Caenorhabditis elegans: one gene and its partners. The protein of the gene in region 1 interacts with the protein of each later gene in a pairwise test. Each region holds a gene or a part of one and is shown in the gene's direction. Other genes may lie near its edges.

Region 1 (5,802 bases):
CGTACTTGCGGTTTTTGCAGTTCCAACAGCAGTAACTAAATCAACTGGAGCTGTGAATGAGAACGCGAGATCGTCCAAAAACCCGCGCTTGGGTGCATATTCTGGCGCCAATTTCAGAGGTTGTGGATTCTGCAGAGTTGTTGTTGGAATTGGTGGAAGTTTCTGTGAATCCTCATCAACTTCTTCAATGTCATCAGAGAGTTTGAACGTATTTCTACTAACTGGTTTCCCATCAGGTCCCTTCATAATTGAGGCATGTTGTTTTCGACTATTTGACGAGTTTATGGTGGTCGTGGATGCAGTTGATGCTGTCTTCTTTGGAGCTGGTAAGTCCAGTGAAAACAAGGAGCTCAGCTGAAATTTAAAAAAGTTAAGATAAAGTCGAATAATTTAATTATCATAATTTTAAGTTTGTTATAATTTCTGAAAATTTCCCAATGAAACGTTTAAAAATAAATACTAGACTGTGATAATCTCGTGTCTAATTTTAGAAAATTTGACCAGAAAAACTTTTTCATAATTCTTGTATCATTTTTTTTCAAGTGTTTAAAATCCAGGTTACCTCTGCAGTCGCAAAGTTTCCGTTCAATGATTTCATTGAATCAGAAGATCCAGTGTCTCCATTTTTCGACGATGTTCTTTTCCTAGTTAAATCCGTCCAATAAGGAGCACGTCGAGCGGACATTCCCATAGTCTTTGATATGAGCTGTATACGAGATGGAATTGCGTCTCCAGCTTTTTTCAATGGAGGTGGTGGTGTGCCAGTTGCTGAACCATTTGGAACCTTGCTCTCGCTAAACGATCCCCATTTTTCTGGTCGAGCAATGCCAGCTCGAAGCATTGACATTCTCTGAACTTCTTTCGCGGGTGTATTTGCACCTTCAAGCTTTTTGAAAATTTCTTGAGTTCTTGTACTTAATGACCCGTTGGTAGTTGCTCCACTTCGTCGGCTCAAAAGTGAGAAATTTGTGATAGATGAAGCAGGAGAATGATTAGCAGTTAACTCTCCACACCAAGTCATATCCATTTTCCTCTCATTATTCATTGAACTATTAAGAGTTGGTTCCAGTAATGATCTGTTCAGGAATCGACTTCGTTTCACACTCTCACTTCGAAACGATTGTGGTAGAATCTGCTTGTCGAGCTCTGTCAGTTGACGTTTGCGATTCTGGAAAAAAATATTTCGATAGCATTTATCAACAGGTTTAATCTAATTTTTCTGTGAAAACACATTAATAAAAAGACAACTTTAAAAATTTACCGTGGAAACCGCAGGAGTGCTGAAGAAAATATCTGGAACAGCGTCCACATCGATCTCTAAGCCATTGGATGCACTCGTACGCCGATCCAATGCAGTCGGACTGAGGTATCGAAGACGTGATCCGATGCGATGGTTTTGTGAGGTATTCACTGAAGTTTCATCTGGAATTTAAAAAATAATGAGTTGAAATTCTAGTGCCATGTACTGATATGAAAGTCAATGTGATTAAACTTACCTGAAGCTATTTTAGCTTCATTATCTACGGATAATATATTTTTCAATGCTGGAGACGCAGAAGGAGACGATTTTGAAGACGAATTGGATGTACCTTCATCATTCGACTTATCGCCGTCTTTGCTTTTAGTGGCACTAGCTCCAACAGAAAAGAAGCGGCCAACCGATGAGAAAAACCCTCCGGATTTATCGGACATTTCTGAAATAGAAAAAAGTTGTTTCGTAATTGAGACTAAAGCTGAGAGAGACTGAAGAAATTTTTCTGCGCCGTGTCAGAAATTCTCGATAAAATAAAATTCTTCAAAAACGACACTTTTCGAAATACTTTTGAAACGCCTAAATGAACTACTGGAAGTACCAAAAGAACATGACAAATGCACCTAATATGTTTTGGTAAAAATTCCGAATTATTGATCGATAACACAGGTCAAAACTACAGAAATCATTCAAAATCGTAAATGTTTAAATTTAGGCCGCGCCAGTAAACGCAGCATTAAGCATTAAACTTGATATATTTTTAAGGCAAAAAACCTTTTACCAACATTGAATTTTCGAAGGAAAGAAGTGTAAATTACATTAAAAATCAATAAAGGAATTTAAAATCGCAAATGGCGCGAAGACGATTAAAAAGAAATTTTCGAGTGCGCACACGCGACGCATACGCGACGCTTTCAACGACATTTGAGAGGTTAGAGTGCAGACAGTTATCCTTCCATTAACAACATGAAGAGGGTGCAGAGAAACGAGAGAGTGTCCATTCCACAAGGCCACACCCCTTCAGCTGGACACTTCTGGAGCTCTTTTGACGACGTTCGACCCTGTTTTTGACTCTTTTTCCGTTAAATATATTTATTTTCTATTCAAAATTATTTTTAACGACCTCTTTTCCATCTTTTTTTCTGTGTTCAAAAAATGTGTTCAAAAAATCCAAAGGTAAATAAAAACATTATTTATTTCAGACCCTCTGCATCACCAATAGAATGCGATAATTCGACAGAAGTTATTTAATTCATTCAGTAGAAATGATTTTGCGACATTTCGGTGAGTTCCATCTTTTTATCTTATCAATTTTAATAATTTCTCCGTGGAAAAGTTTTAAATATTGTTGTTATCACTTTTGTGTTGATACAAATAAAATTAAAATCCTATAATTTCGTAGTAAACGAAGTATCTAAACCCGAACCTCTGAAAGAAAACAAAAGGAAATTAAATAAAACTTCATTACTATTTATAATTTTCAGGTTTCATTCTTATAATTCTGACAGTTTATCTGTCATCTACTCATGCCACAACACGGAAACATCATCGTCGATCGATTGATAATGGTGAGAGTTTTTCACATTTGAATTCAAAAATATATTAAAATGGGGGAAGGAAGATGACCATCTGGCATTCTGTCAAGGTGTCAGTCACCGGCAACATAATTTATCGATTCAAGAATGGAATTTTGAAAATAGAAAAATATAAATAAAAATCATCTTAAAGTCAATACTTGGCACTGAACTACCTTGTGGCTATTTTTAAAAAAAATTGACTCCATAAAAATAATACAAATCCAAGAAAAGTTACGTTTTTTTTAATACTCTTACCTATAAAACACTTAGTTTATCGTCGAATTAATGGTTTTACTTTGAAAAAACCTTCTTTCAAAATTATTCTCAATTTTCGAGTTCCGATCTAGCAGAGTTGTTCAGCAATCTTTTAGTTCCTTCACACCTTAAAGATGGAGCAGCGATTTTTTTGTCCCCAGAAGAGAGACATCTTGAACGTTTTCTAAATTATGGCGGTTTAGGGAAAAATTAAAATTTTAGTTAATTTTGACTCCGCTTTTGAGAAGCCTCATTCCGTCACTCGGGGCCTTATTTCACTACCCCACGGTGGGTACCACCTTTAAAGAAAACTTGACGCCAAATTGTAGCATTTTTCACTACAAACCAAAAGTGGATAGCTCAATTCCCCAGATTCTCTAGGCGTTTGATGTTCGAAAGATTGTAATCTCTACACAAAATCCACCAGATTCGTTCATTTCATTATTGTGTGTGTGGGTCCCAATGGTTCCACATGAAGTCTTCTCTCTCTCTTTTCTTCTTACTCTTGGAATGAATTGTGACACAAACACACACACACAAAACGAAATGCCATCATCTTCTTTAGCTTCCACCACACAAATCTTTCTCTTCCATCCCCTTTCGATTTCAATTGATGGATGAGGCAATATGAGGGACACGGGTCTTCAGTTGATGGTGTTCCCTTGATTGCATAATGCTCCGGGAATACATTCATTCATCATTTAAATGATGATGATTTCTTATTGATGAGTAGCAAAGTTCTGTTTCTAAACATTTACGAAAATGTGAACTAATTGGCTCCAATTTTTGAGCGGCGGAAGAGAAAGAAGGACGCTTTGGGTTTATTGTTATTTCGGAATGGTCAAGGTTGAAGACTGAGAAAGCTACAAAATAATAAATCAGTTGTGAAAATATGTTTTAATTCTGGAAAAAAATAAGGATAATTTAGTTTAACTAGTAAGGTACAGAAAAATATCAACAAAAAAATTAGACGCGATAAGTGGCATTTTACAGTATTCCCCAATTGATAAGGACTTTTTCGGTTTTTAACTGCATTTTTTTCCGTGAATTCATAAAATAAAGGTTCTACGATGCCGCATGTATCACAAAAGAATTTATCGAGCATGTGAGAACGTATGGAATAATGACTGAGGAAGAAAAATGAATGGTTATTATTATAATAGTATACGTTTCGTAAACCTTTCTCGGAATATAAATGGTCATAAGATTCTCGATAAAAAAAACAATACGAATGACTTTCTGAAGGAAATCCTTTATAAAACCTTATTTTCAGATGCTCGGAATCTTGGCTTTCAATTCGTAATGGAACCACGACGGAATGTGACTGTTATGGAATCATCGTCTCATTTATTAGAATGTAGTTATGTTCTGGCTCATGAGAGACTTGTACACGATGTCCGAATTGAATGGAAACGTGATGGTGTGTTGCTCAGTGAACGGACATCTTCTAGAATGTGAGTTTTTTTACAACTATTTGTTCGGTTTAAAATTTTTTCGATTTAAATTGATGTTCAGTGTCAATACACTTATAATAGTTTTTAAAAAAAATTAGATTTTTCAATATTCACCGTCATTCGTTTGGCAAATTTTGCAAAAATGTGGACTTTTAGGTAATTGTTATAGGCGAACTCCTAGAATTTTTACATACGAAAAATTGAAACATAATTAAAATATGAAACTAGTAGAGAAAAAACATTTTTTTGATCGACTTCCAAAATTATGATTTCAAAAAACATGTCAAAATATTTTGAAATTTTTGTTACGATATTTGGACATTTTGAGTATAAAATCAGTTTTAAACAATATCCCTACTGCACTTTTAACCTCGGTAGAAAAAGCTCACACTTTTAAATTGGGTTGAAGCTGACTTTTTCGTTAAAAAAAAGATATCAATTGTGCTATCTTGTAATCTTTAACCTTCTTTCCAAGTATATGGTTGTTTGAACACTCTTAACTTATTTCACCAATAAAATCGGATGCTCACATTCTTCACAAGGACTCCTTTGTGGATTCTCGTCAAAGTTTCGAAAATATGCAAATGACATTGAGACATATAACTCATTTAGATGGTGTATCTCCGTTCTATCGGAATGTGTGTATATACACTTGTTTCTTCTCCTTCTTCTATTCCTAATCCCTTCAAGAGCATGCAAGCGAGTGGAAGTAGTGACTTTTACATGTGTCTTTCTATGCACATATAAAATTTCGTCCTGGCTTATTCATGCATATGTGCATAGGAAGGACACTTTTGACCGAGAGGATTGGAGTCTATTGTTGAGAAGCTTTTGTTGTGCAAGAAATTGTTTTTCTGCATATTTCATAACTTGTAGTTGTTTTAGTTTCCAATGGCCACTGAAATGTTATGAAATTTGCCGGAAATAGACCGAAAGTTATTAAGCTTAAAACCGAAAGTACAATCAGAACAGAATCAACACATTGGAATCAAAAAAGTTCACACAATTAACTATATGTTCCAATTTTTCAATTTCCTTGCTTTGAAATTACCACTTTAAGATTCTGTTAATATTAAAGTTGTTGGTTTAAGCTTACAAAGTATCTATATATTGTGTAACCAGATACTATTTTCGCCTTCACAACATTCAACAGAAGTAGACCACCCGCCAAAGACGTATCCGCGACAATTTCCTGCCATTTGTCATGTATCTCCTCCTACTATAATGCCATGTCACCATTATTATTCTGGCATTAGAGCTAGGT
Region 2 (5,881 bases), on another chromosome or scaffold:
TTGAGAATAGTGTCCAAAATGCATATCGAACTTTCACTAATCATACTTCCCGAAGGACTTTCCACCTTTCCCCCTTCCAAGCTTATTCATTGTTTCCGTATAAAGGTTTGTGAATATCTCCTCTCTCTCTACCCAAGACACACCAACTTGATACCTTTCTGTGAATATGTTTATTTATTTATACCCTCCTTCCAACTCTCGGTGCGGGTTAAGCCAGTGACAGGCGCCTTAGACTTTCCCGAGCTACTTTATATAGAGAAGAGAACTCGGATAAAATCCAAAAGTTTTTCTTTGAAATCTTTTCGCAAAAATAATAATGAGCTCGTTGGAGGGCCCCCCGATCATCATCATCATCATTTTGCGACCACGAGAACGAGAAAATTATTAAACAGCAGCAGTGCTCTGAGAGACTTCTACTCTTTTTGTGTTCGGCAGAGATTTTGTGGGAAAAAATTTGGCAGAACTTTTTGAGAAGATAAACTAGCTGCAAGGTCAAAAATTTAAAGTTTTGCAACACTTAGAGGTGGTCTAACTGGGTGCTAAAATTCTATGGGAAAAGTCCTTTCAATATTGTGCTTAGGCTTAGGCTTAGACCTAAGCTTAGGCTTAATCTAAGGCTTAGGCTTAGGCTTAGTTTTAGGCTTAGGCTTAGGCTTAGGCTTAGGTGTAGGCTCAGGCTTAAGCTTGGCGTCAGTGGCGAGCGTGAGCATAGGCTTTGGTGTAGGCTTAATCTAAGGCTTAGGCTTATGCTTAGTTTTAGGCTTAGGCTTTTAGGCTTAGGCTTAGGCTTAGGCTTAGACTTAGGCTTAGGCTTAGACTTAGGCTTAGGTTTAGGCCTAGCCCTAGGCTTGGGCTTAGGCTTAGGCTGGGCCCGGGGATGAAGAGAACGAACAGAAATTATAGAAAATTCAAGAATTCAGAAAAGCCTCTCAATTTGAAATTTCTTGCTCATTTTTCCCTCATTACCATCACCCAATCGATCATTCATTGCACAATCAGTTGAAGCTGTCTCCATCTTGTCTCATCGCATCCCCGTCCATGTCAATCCCGCCTCTCCTTCCCCATCCCTTAGCCCCGCCTACTTTTCTCTCCGCGCGCGTACGTTTCCCTTCCGCCTCTAGCTCTCCGTCTTTTGTGTCCTCTCGTCTTCCGCAAAGTTCCCATGACTGAAAAAAAATTTTGGGTGTTCTTTTCAGGATGTGTATGGGAAGAATTATTTTGATTTGGAATTTTTTGTTTTTATTTTTTTATTTTTGCTCCGTTCTACTCTGTTTCTTCAAAAATTTATGAAATGTAGGTGTTTGTAAACCTTATTTCATTGTTTCGCTCGCTCAAAGTAAATTCTTTACTTTGGCCTATAAAAATTTCGTTTTCAAAATTTAGGCTTATTTCAACATGGTGGTCCAAATTTTTGAATCTAAAATTGATTTAAAAATGTAAAAAAAAATGTTTGTTCTATTTGATATTATCATTTATTTTTTTTGAAAAGCTTGAAAAAGTGCTCAAATAGTACCTAAAAGTTCGTTTTTGTCGGCATTTTTCAGACACTATTTGAGGATTGTTTCAAACTTTTCATCAAAAAAAAAAAATTATTTTCGGAAAGAACAAACCTTTTTCGACATTTCCATATCAATTTTAGATCAAAAAATTTTGGATTATCATGTTGAAATAAGCCAGTTTTGTGAGTTTGCCGAAAAAATGCCGCCCAGCTCTATTCCAGAGTGCAAAAATTAAGGGCTCAAAAATTGCCCTAAACCTAATTTTTGAGGGCTTTTAATTATTGGAGAGTATTTAATCGTAAGCCGTTAAGAAAAAAAAATATGTTTTTTTCTGCTGGAAAATTTGAAATTTTTTTAAGTGAAAATTTTCGAATTTTTCGAATTTTCATCCGGTGAGCTTCTTGAATTTTTTTTCTTGAATATATGTTTTCTCATAACGTTTCATGTCATATGTTTATGCGTTTATGTAGGCGACGGCTCTTTGCACACATTCACACACACATGCACTTCAAAATATAAAACAACTTTCTTTCTTGATCCGAGATTTTTCTTTTTTTTTGTTCAACTTCAACTTCCACCTGACAATACTCAAATTTCAGTCCCTTCAAAAATGGAGGAAGAGCTCAAATGCACAATATGCATTCGATTTTTCGAAGACCCCATCATTCTTACCTGCGGCCACAGTCTCTGCAGAATGTGCGCCCTGAAAGCCCACCAGCCGTCAACCTCGTCGGGAAGCTCGTCCACTTCATCGCCACGTCCCTCGACACCTGGAATTTTGTCACAAATTCTGAGCTCGGCGAGCTCACCGATCTCCCCACAAAGTGCTGGTAGTAGTAGTGGTGAGTATTGGTGGTTTTTTTGTTTTTTGTTGGTTAACTCGTTGACACCATATGTCATTGGGTTAATGGTATTGAGTAATCCAATTTCGGCACCGAGGTGCCGACAAAAGGGAAGAATTGAATGAAGAATGGAAACTAATTGAATACGAATGGAAAAAAAAACTAATAATTATTAATGTTTGCAGGAGCATCTGACACCATGTCACTTTGTGTTTCGGACAATGGGGACCATGAAAGTGATAAGCTATCAGTTGTGTCGGAGACCGATTCTGGAGTCGTCGGATGTGGTAGAAGTGAGTTGATTTTCTTGAGATTGGCTTACAACCTATATAAAAATTGTTGGGTGTAAATCTAACAAGGGAACCATCAGAAGGTGCCCATCGGACTTGCATATGAAACCTATGCCATTCGATAGCCCATGTCTTAAAACGGTTACTCGTGAATTTTGAGCTGCGAATGTCCAGAACCAAGCTCACTGCGAGCTCTCAAAGATTCTAAAATAGCACTATAACGAAGCACTGTAACGATGAAAAGAAGCAATTTTCCAAATTCACTTTGGTAGCCTATATCTCCGTGGATAAATTTTTTTCAGAAAAGTCATCAACTATAAAGTTGTTGATATTGTTGTAAAAAACAAGTTTGTAGTTAAAAGTTTCTACCAAAAAAATTTTTGTTTCAGATAAAAGCATTAAAATAGCAATAACTGCATAAAAATAACAACAACAGTTACCGCACTTCACGCGCTTCTATCTGAAACAACAATTTTTTTTGATAAAAACTTTCAACTACTCGAAAGGAGGAAGACAGTCCTGTCGGTAGGCAGGCACAAGTGGGCCTGTAGGCAGGCAAAACGTGTCTGCCTGATCATCTGGACTATAGTGCAAACTATTCAATTTTCCTATATTTTCTAAAAATCCTGTCAAAATTGAGAAAGATTCTCAAATTTATTCAGGTTCAAAATTCAGAGATCAGAATTTACTTTCTTCAACTTTGATAATTTTCCAGCCAGTCGACCGTCAAGCATCATCGGTCCACCTCTATCCCGCCTACACAACATCCTAACACCATCCACAAGCGGCGTGCAACTTGTCTGTAATTCGTGTCAAAAGCCGAGCTATTTCTGCGATGAGAACTCGATCGTCAGCGCGCCCACGAATCTCGCAATGCAAAACGTGATTCGAAGGTATCTGCTGGCCCATCCGGACAAGGCGTTCTTAACGCCGTCTTGTTCTGGAAGTTCTGGAAGTTCTGGAAGTTCTCAATCGTCCGATGAAGCATCGTCACAGTGTCAGCTATGCGAGGGGAGTGAAAATCGAATGGCAAATGTGTTTTGCGAGCAATGCGACATTTATTACTGCACACCTTGTCAAACTGCGTTGCATCCTGCCAGAGGACCACTTGCAAAACATAACTTATTACAAGCAAATGATGGAGAGAGAAAGTGAGTTGACATGCCTACCTTATCACGTGGCGTCAGGCTGTCCCATCATGGTTTGATCTACAAAAAATGCGGGAATTTTTGTACCCATAAAGATGTGACGTCAGCACGCTCTCAACCATGCAAAATCAGTTGAGAACTCTGCGTCTCTTCTCCCGCATTTTTTGTAGATCTACGGACATTCTGGCACCACGTGCCTTATGCCTGCCTACTCATAAAATATCTCAATTCACAAAATATAAACTGAGGTTCTCGTGGAAGGCAGGCTGGCGGCATACCTCACGCCTGTTAACAGGCACTTTTATGTCAATTTTCCAGGAAATCATCGGCCATCACTACAGCCACCACTGTTCGAGATTTGCTGCGCTGCGCAACACACCCTGGGGAGGGATTAACCATGTATTGTCTGGCATGTAAGGTGCCCGTGTGCTCCAGATGTCTCCAAGTGGGTTGTTGACGCGCAATTCGGGGGTAATAAACTGTGTTTTTTTAGGACCTTCGACACGCCAATCACGATGTGCAGAGTCTTCCGATCGCTTGCAAAGGGCACAAGGTGAGCCTATTTGTCAATCAAATGAGTGAGATGAGAGGGGGGAGGCTAGGTTCAACCGCAAATCTTCAGAAGAAAGTGTCCTTGCATCAAAAATCTGCCTTTTTCATCTAAATAGTTGTTCCTCCATTCCTCCATCCTTGCCTGGTTCTATCTAAATACCGTACATTATTTATAAATGGCCTGACTTGAACTGTGAGAGGAGGAACCACACAACGAACGGCTAATGACCTAGGGCTTTCGAAATCGACAAAGCGAATTAATCGCGAGGGGGGCCCCATGAGGCGTTCAATTGGAAACTTGCCGTCATCATCATCATCATCCATACAAAGTTTTGTAAACTAAACGACATGTTTATTCAGTGTTGTGTCGGAATTCGTGACCTTGGATGTTTCTAACTAACGGGACTGGGGATTGGAAAAGGGAAATATTAGATGAGAAACTCTGCAAAAAAAACCTACATAATCATGAAAATAGCACTGTAACGAAGAATTGATTACTTTGGTAGCTCATATCTCCGCGGAAAAATTTTTTTCAAAACAGTCATCAACTAAAAAGTTGTTGATCTTTTTGTAAAGAACAAGTTTGAAGTTAGAAGTTTTTTACCGAAATTTTTTTTGTTTGAGATAGAAGCGCGGCAACTGTTGTTGTTATTTTTATGATGTTCTTGCTATTCTAATGCTTTTATCTGAAACAAAAATTTTTTGGTTAAAAAAACTTTTGTTTACCAAATTGTTCTTTACATAAATATCAACAACTTTTAAGTTGATGACTTTTATGTGAAAAATGTATCCGTGGAGTTATAAGCTACCAAAGTAAATTTTGGAAATTGACCCTTCAGTGCTTCGTTACAGGCCTTTTTTCAAGGATCTTTGAGAGTTCGCCGTGAGCTTGGTTCTGTGAGTTTTGGCGCTAAAAGTTCACTAGTAACCGTTTTAAGATATGTGCTTTCGGATGGCATAGGTCTCATACGTTAGTCCGATAGGAACATTCTGACGGTTCCCTAGTTAGCCACTTCGCACCCACCAGACTTAAACTAGCTATTGTTAAATCTTTTATACTGGCGGAAAATGTTTGCCTGCCTACAATGCCTCTTTTTGATTTTTCAACAATCTTTTTCAACAAATTTTCGCGGGGTCTCAAAGAACTTCAAAGCCACCGATGTCCTCAAAGGTAGGTAGGCTGGCATGCAGGCAAAAGTAGTGCCTACTACGAGACTGCATTTTCAGGCTTTTACCCTAAGGGCCTGAAACTTTACGATTCTCCCGAAACAGTTAATCTCTCGCCTCCTACCCTCTCCTATACTTGAGCCATCCTCATCCTCCTCCTTTTTACTTTTTATAATTGTGTAAGAAATGTGAATGTGTGCATCTTTTTCCGGTTGTGTGTCCATCTAAGAAAAAGCAACAACAACAACACAAACAAAAGTAGTCGTAGTGCATGTCGTGGTGCTTTTTGCGGCCGTAGTGTGTCACACACAAGATTGATGGAAAAGCACTTAATGGCGTGAGCCATGAAACTTTTTCTCGCTGTATTTTATATATTTGTTGTT
Region 3 (6,258 bases), 1.7 Mb from region 1:
TGGCAACTATGTGACCCTCATGGGGTCGCTAACTACCCAGGAGGCACGCCTTCTGGGAAGTTAGCGATAGCGCGCGAATACAATCCTAGTCACAGTAAAACAATTGAAGAGGTGACCACGGGACCGCTCTGAATACCAATCGATGTAAATCTTATATTTTGACTGTTTTTGCCTTGTTGCAACGATTGATGCCGCCGTTTTGAATTCAAATTTTTACTGTCGCATCCTTTTTTCATAAGAAAGTCAGGATGATCTGAAAATAGACTCTGACCATTTTTGAGCTTTTTGTTAAATTATCACGATTTCTTGGTTTTCCTTTTGCACATTGTTTCTACATAAATTTTCTCTCACTAATAATATCCTTAACTTTGAGCCGCCATAAAACATTTGTAAGCATTATTGAAAAATCTATGTAGTTATGAAACTCGTTATCTTTGCGTCATTTTTAATATCAAAAAACATCAAAAAATTGTCGGTTACTACCTTTAAAAATTAGTACCACAATGCACCACGTGACAACTTCACTGAACGGGGGTAATAATATTCCAATGATAGTAACTGTCAAGTGTCGATCCCTTTTGTTTTATGATTTCCGCTTGAACGGTCATCGTATACTGTTTGGCTGAAGAGACATGTGGTGGTATAATCCTCTGGGAAATCCAATCTTCACCATGTGTCTCGAGAATATCTCTGATGTTGACTTGTTACTGTAGGATTGAGTGGAATTGATATTATTTTTGATATTAGGGCGATAGCGGTCATTTAGTTCAATTTTTGGTCATTTAGTTCAATTTAGTTCATTTAAAATTTCCTAGGATTTTGTTTTACGGTGTTCCACCGACACTAAAAACTGATTGTTCAGATCAGAGGTGTACGTTAAATTTTTTCGACAATTCTACAAAATGGCCTGATGTGGCATGTTGGTCTGATATTTTTCATTAAAATTTAGTGTCAAAATATAGGATTGATTGATCTGAAAATAATTTTTTAGTTGAAAAAAAATCCTTAAAAGTTGTCTGAAAGGTGAAAATTGCTGGAATAAATCAGACAAATTATTGACACTTTTTTCCAGCAATTGGCAACTTTCATGCAATTTTTAATCATATTTTCACATTTTCAAACTTAAATGAAAATTATTTTCTGATTAATAAATTATTTGTTATATATTTTTGCATTAAATTTTGATCTGTTTTGCCTGTTGAACTAAAATGCTCTAGTTCAGATACAAGTAGTTTCAAAGAATTTGAGAGATTAGATTATAAAGACATCTCAACAACTTCTAGAGCTCACAACAGCATCTATTGAGTTCAATTGAAAAATTCAATTTTGGAGAAGAAAGGATTTAAACAGAATTATCTATATTTGAAGTGTTGCTAACATACTTCTTGTCATCTGTCGCCTGCATCGTTTGCACCTGCCACCATTACCGCCATCTCACGTCGTCGTCTTCTTCATGTCTTCTTTCTTATTTTGCCTGTTGTGTCCCCGGCGGTCTGTCCGGTCCATCAACATCCGTCTGCGCGCGCAGTGACCCTTGCGTTCTCTTTTTACGTCTGCGTCTCTACAGGACACTAGCACTGTCTCATATGACCAGCGGTCTGCTACAACGGCCGTTAGCCTCCCATAACAATTCGCTTGTCTCCCGCTTTCGTACGCTATTCCCGGAGCGGTGCCCACCCCAATGGTTGGGCCCTCTTGAGAGAAATAGTTCGTTTTGGTAGCTCTTCCTTTTCTTCTTCCTTTTCCACGATTTTCGCATTTTCACACCCAACGATTTGTAATGCGTTGTGCAACTAATAATTGAGACTAGATTCATCACATCTTTATTTGCTTATTTTATTTTATGCAGTGAAGACATTTGAATAATGCATACTTCCTGAAAAAGTACGTATTCTAGTGAGAAGATCTAATAACGTTTCGCAATGTTTCGACCTTTTCCATCCTATTTTTAGCTGCTTGAGTATAGAATTTCTTCAAAAATATCAATGAGTCAGTCATTTTAAAACAAACTTTAAAATTTAGTTTTAAAAATTGGCAAGACCATTTTGACCAAAATTTGGCAAGAGATTGTTTAGACTAGGGTCAAATAGAATTAAATTAGCTCAAGCCACATGTTGCCAATTTCCGATTTAAGCCATTTTTTTCCGGATTGTTTGAAATATTTTGTATACCAAACTTGTTCCAAGAAGATGTTAAGCTATATGAAAAGCTTCTAAAATTGTAATGCACTTATTTTTAAATGTTCTGGAAAATTTTGTTTTTTCCATAATAATTAATAATTTTGTCTCGATTTTTTCTTTGATTTTTAAAATCTTATTTAGTGTGATTTTCCATGATTTTCGAGCAATATTTCATCAGAAAATTTAAATCGAAAATCAACTTTTTCTCTCTTTTCAATACGCACTCTATTTTATTTTCTCAAATCTCTTTTTTTGAAAGAAATTTAAAATTCTTTGAAAACTGTCATTTTTTCAGATAAACGGGTTCTCATCTGATCGTCACAATACACACACAGACATTCAGAAGCACATGATTATTTTGAATTCAAGAAGAGTCGTCAAATTCGCATAAAATTCCTCCATCAGTTATGGGCGATTATGATGGAAAAGTGAGTTTTTTCAGTTTCATGGTGGCGGCAGCGGCAACTTGTGAAAAAAGAGGCAGAGATGCCGGCGCCGTAATCCATTGAAGCGATTAATGCGGAAAACGAGTGCAAACTGTACGATTTGATAGAGAAAAGAATACGTTTTTGTTTTTCGAATGTTCCGAGAAATGTCTTTTTCATCAAATTTTTAAATTTCAAATAATTTAATTTTGTTTTGTTAATATTGCCCAGACGCAAAGTTTTGCGATATTTGCAATAAAAATACGGTATTCGGTCTCGATACTACAAATTTTTGATGAGCCTTTAAAGATTACTGTAGTTTAGTTGATTATTGATTTTTTTCTCTATATTTGTTTAAATTTATGTGTTTAACAGTTTTTTTGTTGTAAAATTGTTCCGATGAAAAATTTTTTTATAAATAACAATGAAAATTGATGAAAATTCCGCAAAAACCAAATGCTAGAGATTACAGTATTCTTCAAATAAAATTTTATCGTGTCAAGACCGGGTACCGTATTTTGATACAAAAATCGTTAAATTTCGCCTATGAGTAGTAGAAAAAATTAACACCAAAACAGCAACTAAAAAATTTAATATAACTTTAAAGTTTTGCCAAAATTGAAAAAAAAAATTTCCGAGATCTCTACTCTTTTTCACGACTATAAATCTTGATTAGGTCCAAACTAAAGAAAAATAAATCATAATAATTGATGTATTACGATTACAAACCTTCCCAGACAATTGTTGAAAAGTGTAAAATGAGTTCATCACGTTTTTGAAATATGTTATGAGTCAATTGTTTTGTGTCACTCATTCCGAAATTCGGTGCTCTCCCGGTGCTCCTGCTTCTTCTCACCCATTATTTCCGGATAGATCATGAGATGGAGAGACGCAGATAGCACGATAATAGTGACCGGTTGTGTAAAGTTGTGTGAGAAAAGAAACGAAATAGTGGGAGCTTATCAAGCTCTTCCCTCAATCCTTGAAACAGATGGTACTCTCAAAGAGTGCCTTCTCGATTAGCACCAATCTTACTACTAGTATGTTGTTGTTCGAGACAGGATTATGACCTCGAGAAGCGAGGAAAATGTGAGAGAGAACGAATACCAACAAAAAAATCCGAATAGTGTGTGTGTGTAATGACGGCAGTTTATGGCAATCGGGGAAGACATTGAGAATTGTTGTAGTGCAAAAAATTGGAGGAAAAAGAAAGAAAAAATGAAAGAAAATCTCTTGTGTGCCGGGTTTTCTTTCTTCCTTTTTCGTTTTTTTTCGTGTTGGTTTGCCTTGCAAGTAAACTAGTCAACTTCAAAATACTCTGGTTGAGCTTTTACAAAAAGTTCTCTCAGTCTTTTTTCTTTCAAATACAAATTTTTCTGCCCAATTTTTTCACAAAATAAACAAAAAGAGCCAAACTTTTATAGGTAGTTTTTGAGTACATTGTACTGATTATTTTAATTTAAAATCAATGATTCTAGTTTGTTATCTCTATTTTACAGTTTCATAAAATTTAAAAAAAGTAATGTACAGTGAATGATTTCAAATTTTTCTTTCAGTATTGGCCATACAAAAATGAAAAAATACAAAAAATAAAAAAATTTTATAAAACCTAGATTTCCGTTTGACATTTTCTTTTTTATTCCAAGTTTTAGTGCAAGTTCAGCGAAAATTCGCCCCCTGCGACTTCACCATTTAGAATTCGAAAATTTCAAAATTTGGTGCCCGCTTCTTGCCCAGAAGTTGGCAAAGCTTAGATTGATTTAGACTGCGCCCAAATCCAGCCCAAACTTGATCCAACTTTTGACAAACTCTAACCCAAGTTTAAAACCACACAAGAAAAGTTGGGCGCACCCTAACCAAGTATAAGTTTTGCCCAATTTTTGGTCCAAAATTAGACAAGAAGCTAGCCCTAAAAATCGAGTTAGTGATCGCAGAACTGTTATCTCTGACTCTCTGCTTTTCCTCCAAATCAACAGTCATTTTCCATTGCCGGGGGCCGCGAACAGCGCACTAACCATTCCGTCCGTCCGTCCCAATACACGAAAAAGTCGATTAGCAGATTGAACTTGGTGATAAACTGCAGTGCAATGTGACCAGCCCCTTTTCGTTCCACTCGACTCCCCCCCTATTCCACTCTTCGGTGTTGTGTTGCCTGCGTCTCAACGCTCTCTCCCTCTATCTCACCCGTTTCCTCTGGTGGTGAATTGAATTTCGAATGGTCCTTCTTTTACGACAAACACTGATATTTTTTGGAGCCACTGCGAGCTTTTTTTGGTTTTCTAAGATTTTGGTTTCATGTTCCCGGACATTTTGAACTTTCAAAAATAATCTCAAAAACTCTATGAAAACTTTTGATTTTAAACAATTCGAAAAAATTCCAGATGACGATGAAAGCAGAAGACATTCTGCATGTTCTTCGTGACGGCATTGCAGTACTTCCTGGAGGACGATGTAGAGCCGGACAAGCAGTTATCGTATGTCCATCACGAGAGCAACCTGTCAATCAGGATAATTTACGCAATGTCTTTCTGTATTTATTTGAAGTTACTTCGTAAGTTTTTTATTTGACTGAAATGGAACAACCACACTGTGAAAAAACAAAATTTATAAAAAGATATTTCAAAAAATTTATTTCCATTTTTCAATTCAATTACTTAACAATAAGCCTAGCCTAAGCCCACAAAACACAAATTTCAAAAAAACCAAACAAAAAATTGAATTTGCAGGAAGATGGCACGCGAAAAGGGATTCCTTGTGGTAATTGATATGCGTGGAAAACAAACATGGACCAATGTTCGACACATTCTGAAAGCTCTCAGTGTATGGTTTTTTTTTCGTTTAAAAAATATGGATTCCTACAAAAACAACAAAAAACTATATACACTTATAACAGCCAAAAATAGCGGAATATCCTTTAAAAACTTAGACTAAAACCCTCTAAAATTATTCAAAATTTTCAAAATTTTTAGTCACGGTTTGTGTACGTTGCCAAATTTTAAAAATATTTTGGAACACAAATATAATTTTTTTCAACCATAGAAATTTTTTTTCTGTCGACTTCCAAAAATATTGTATGTGAAAATTGAATTTTCATAGCTTTTTTACTGTAAATTTGTTTGAAAATTTTTCCTGATTTTTGGAAAGTTTAACACTAGGAGCACAATTTTTAAAACAACTTTCCAACTATATCAAATGTTAATTTTCAGAGTATTGAAAGCTCATCAACAGTACAAGTGTTCATCATCAAGCCCGAAAAATTCTGGGAGAAACAAAAAGCACAAATGTCCCTTGGAACGTGGGATTTTGAAGTTGAAATGATCTCATTCGAATCGCTTATCAAAATAATCGACTCGTCACATTTACCGAAAACCGTCGGCGGAAGCTATCCATATGATCATGATGAATGGCTTGAGCTCAGGTTGGATCTCGAGAAATGGATCTGGAATATCACTGAAATTATGGAAAAGCTCGAGTCTGTACGTCGAGAAATTTGCGAAGGCGAGCAGCCTGTCGATGTGACAACTGCCAACGCTGCGCTGAAAAAGAGCCAACACGCAAAGAATAGTATATTTAATGTTCCGGTGGAAGGAATTGAGACAGAAGGGAATAAAGTGAGTTTTTGTTTTCTTTTTAATTATATTCAAAAATTTGAA

What was found. The genes of interacting proteins can lie anywhere in the genome.
Region 2: the proteins of unc-40 (region 1) and madd-2 interact in a two-hybrid assay, tested with the Caenorhabditis elegans proteins (2 studies listed by BioGRID).
Region 3: the proteins of unc-40 (region 1) and unc-73 interact in a two-hybrid assay, tested with the Caenorhabditis elegans proteins (2 studies listed by BioGRID).

Annotation. Positions count from the first base shown.
Region 1 is NC_003279.8:5,688,156-5,693,957, reverse strand, and holds the start of unc-40 (Netrin receptor unc-40), read left to right. Parts: upstream 1-2,454; 5' UTR 2,455-2,517; coding exon 2,518-2,536; intron 2,537-2,736; coding exon 2,737-2,820; intron 2,821-4,357; coding exon 4,358-4,538; intron 4,539-5,802. Other genes in the region: npp-7 (RanBP2-type domain-containing protein), read right to left, coding at 1-354, 563-1,168, 1,262-1,422, 1,497-1,692.
Region 2 is NC_003283.11:1,231,663-1,237,543, reverse strand, and holds the start of madd-2 (E3 ubiquitin-protein ligase TRIM9), read left to right. Parts: upstream 1-2,098; 5' UTR 2,099-2,109; coding exon 2,110-2,341; intron 2,342-2,526; coding exon 2,527-2,634; intron 2,635-3,346; coding exon 3,347-3,782; intron 3,783-4,097; coding exon 4,098-4,224; intron 4,225-4,272; coding exon 4,273-4,332; intron 4,333-5,881.
Region 3 is NC_003279.8:4,027,957-4,034,214, reverse strand, and holds the start of unc-73 (CRAL-TRIO domain-containing protein), read left to right. Parts: upstream 1-2,475; 5' UTR 2,476-2,587; coding exon 2,588-2,608; intron 2,609-4,986; coding exon 4,987-5,156; intron 5,157-5,331; coding exon 5,332-5,425; intron 5,426-5,811; coding exon 5,812-6,216; intron 6,217-6,258.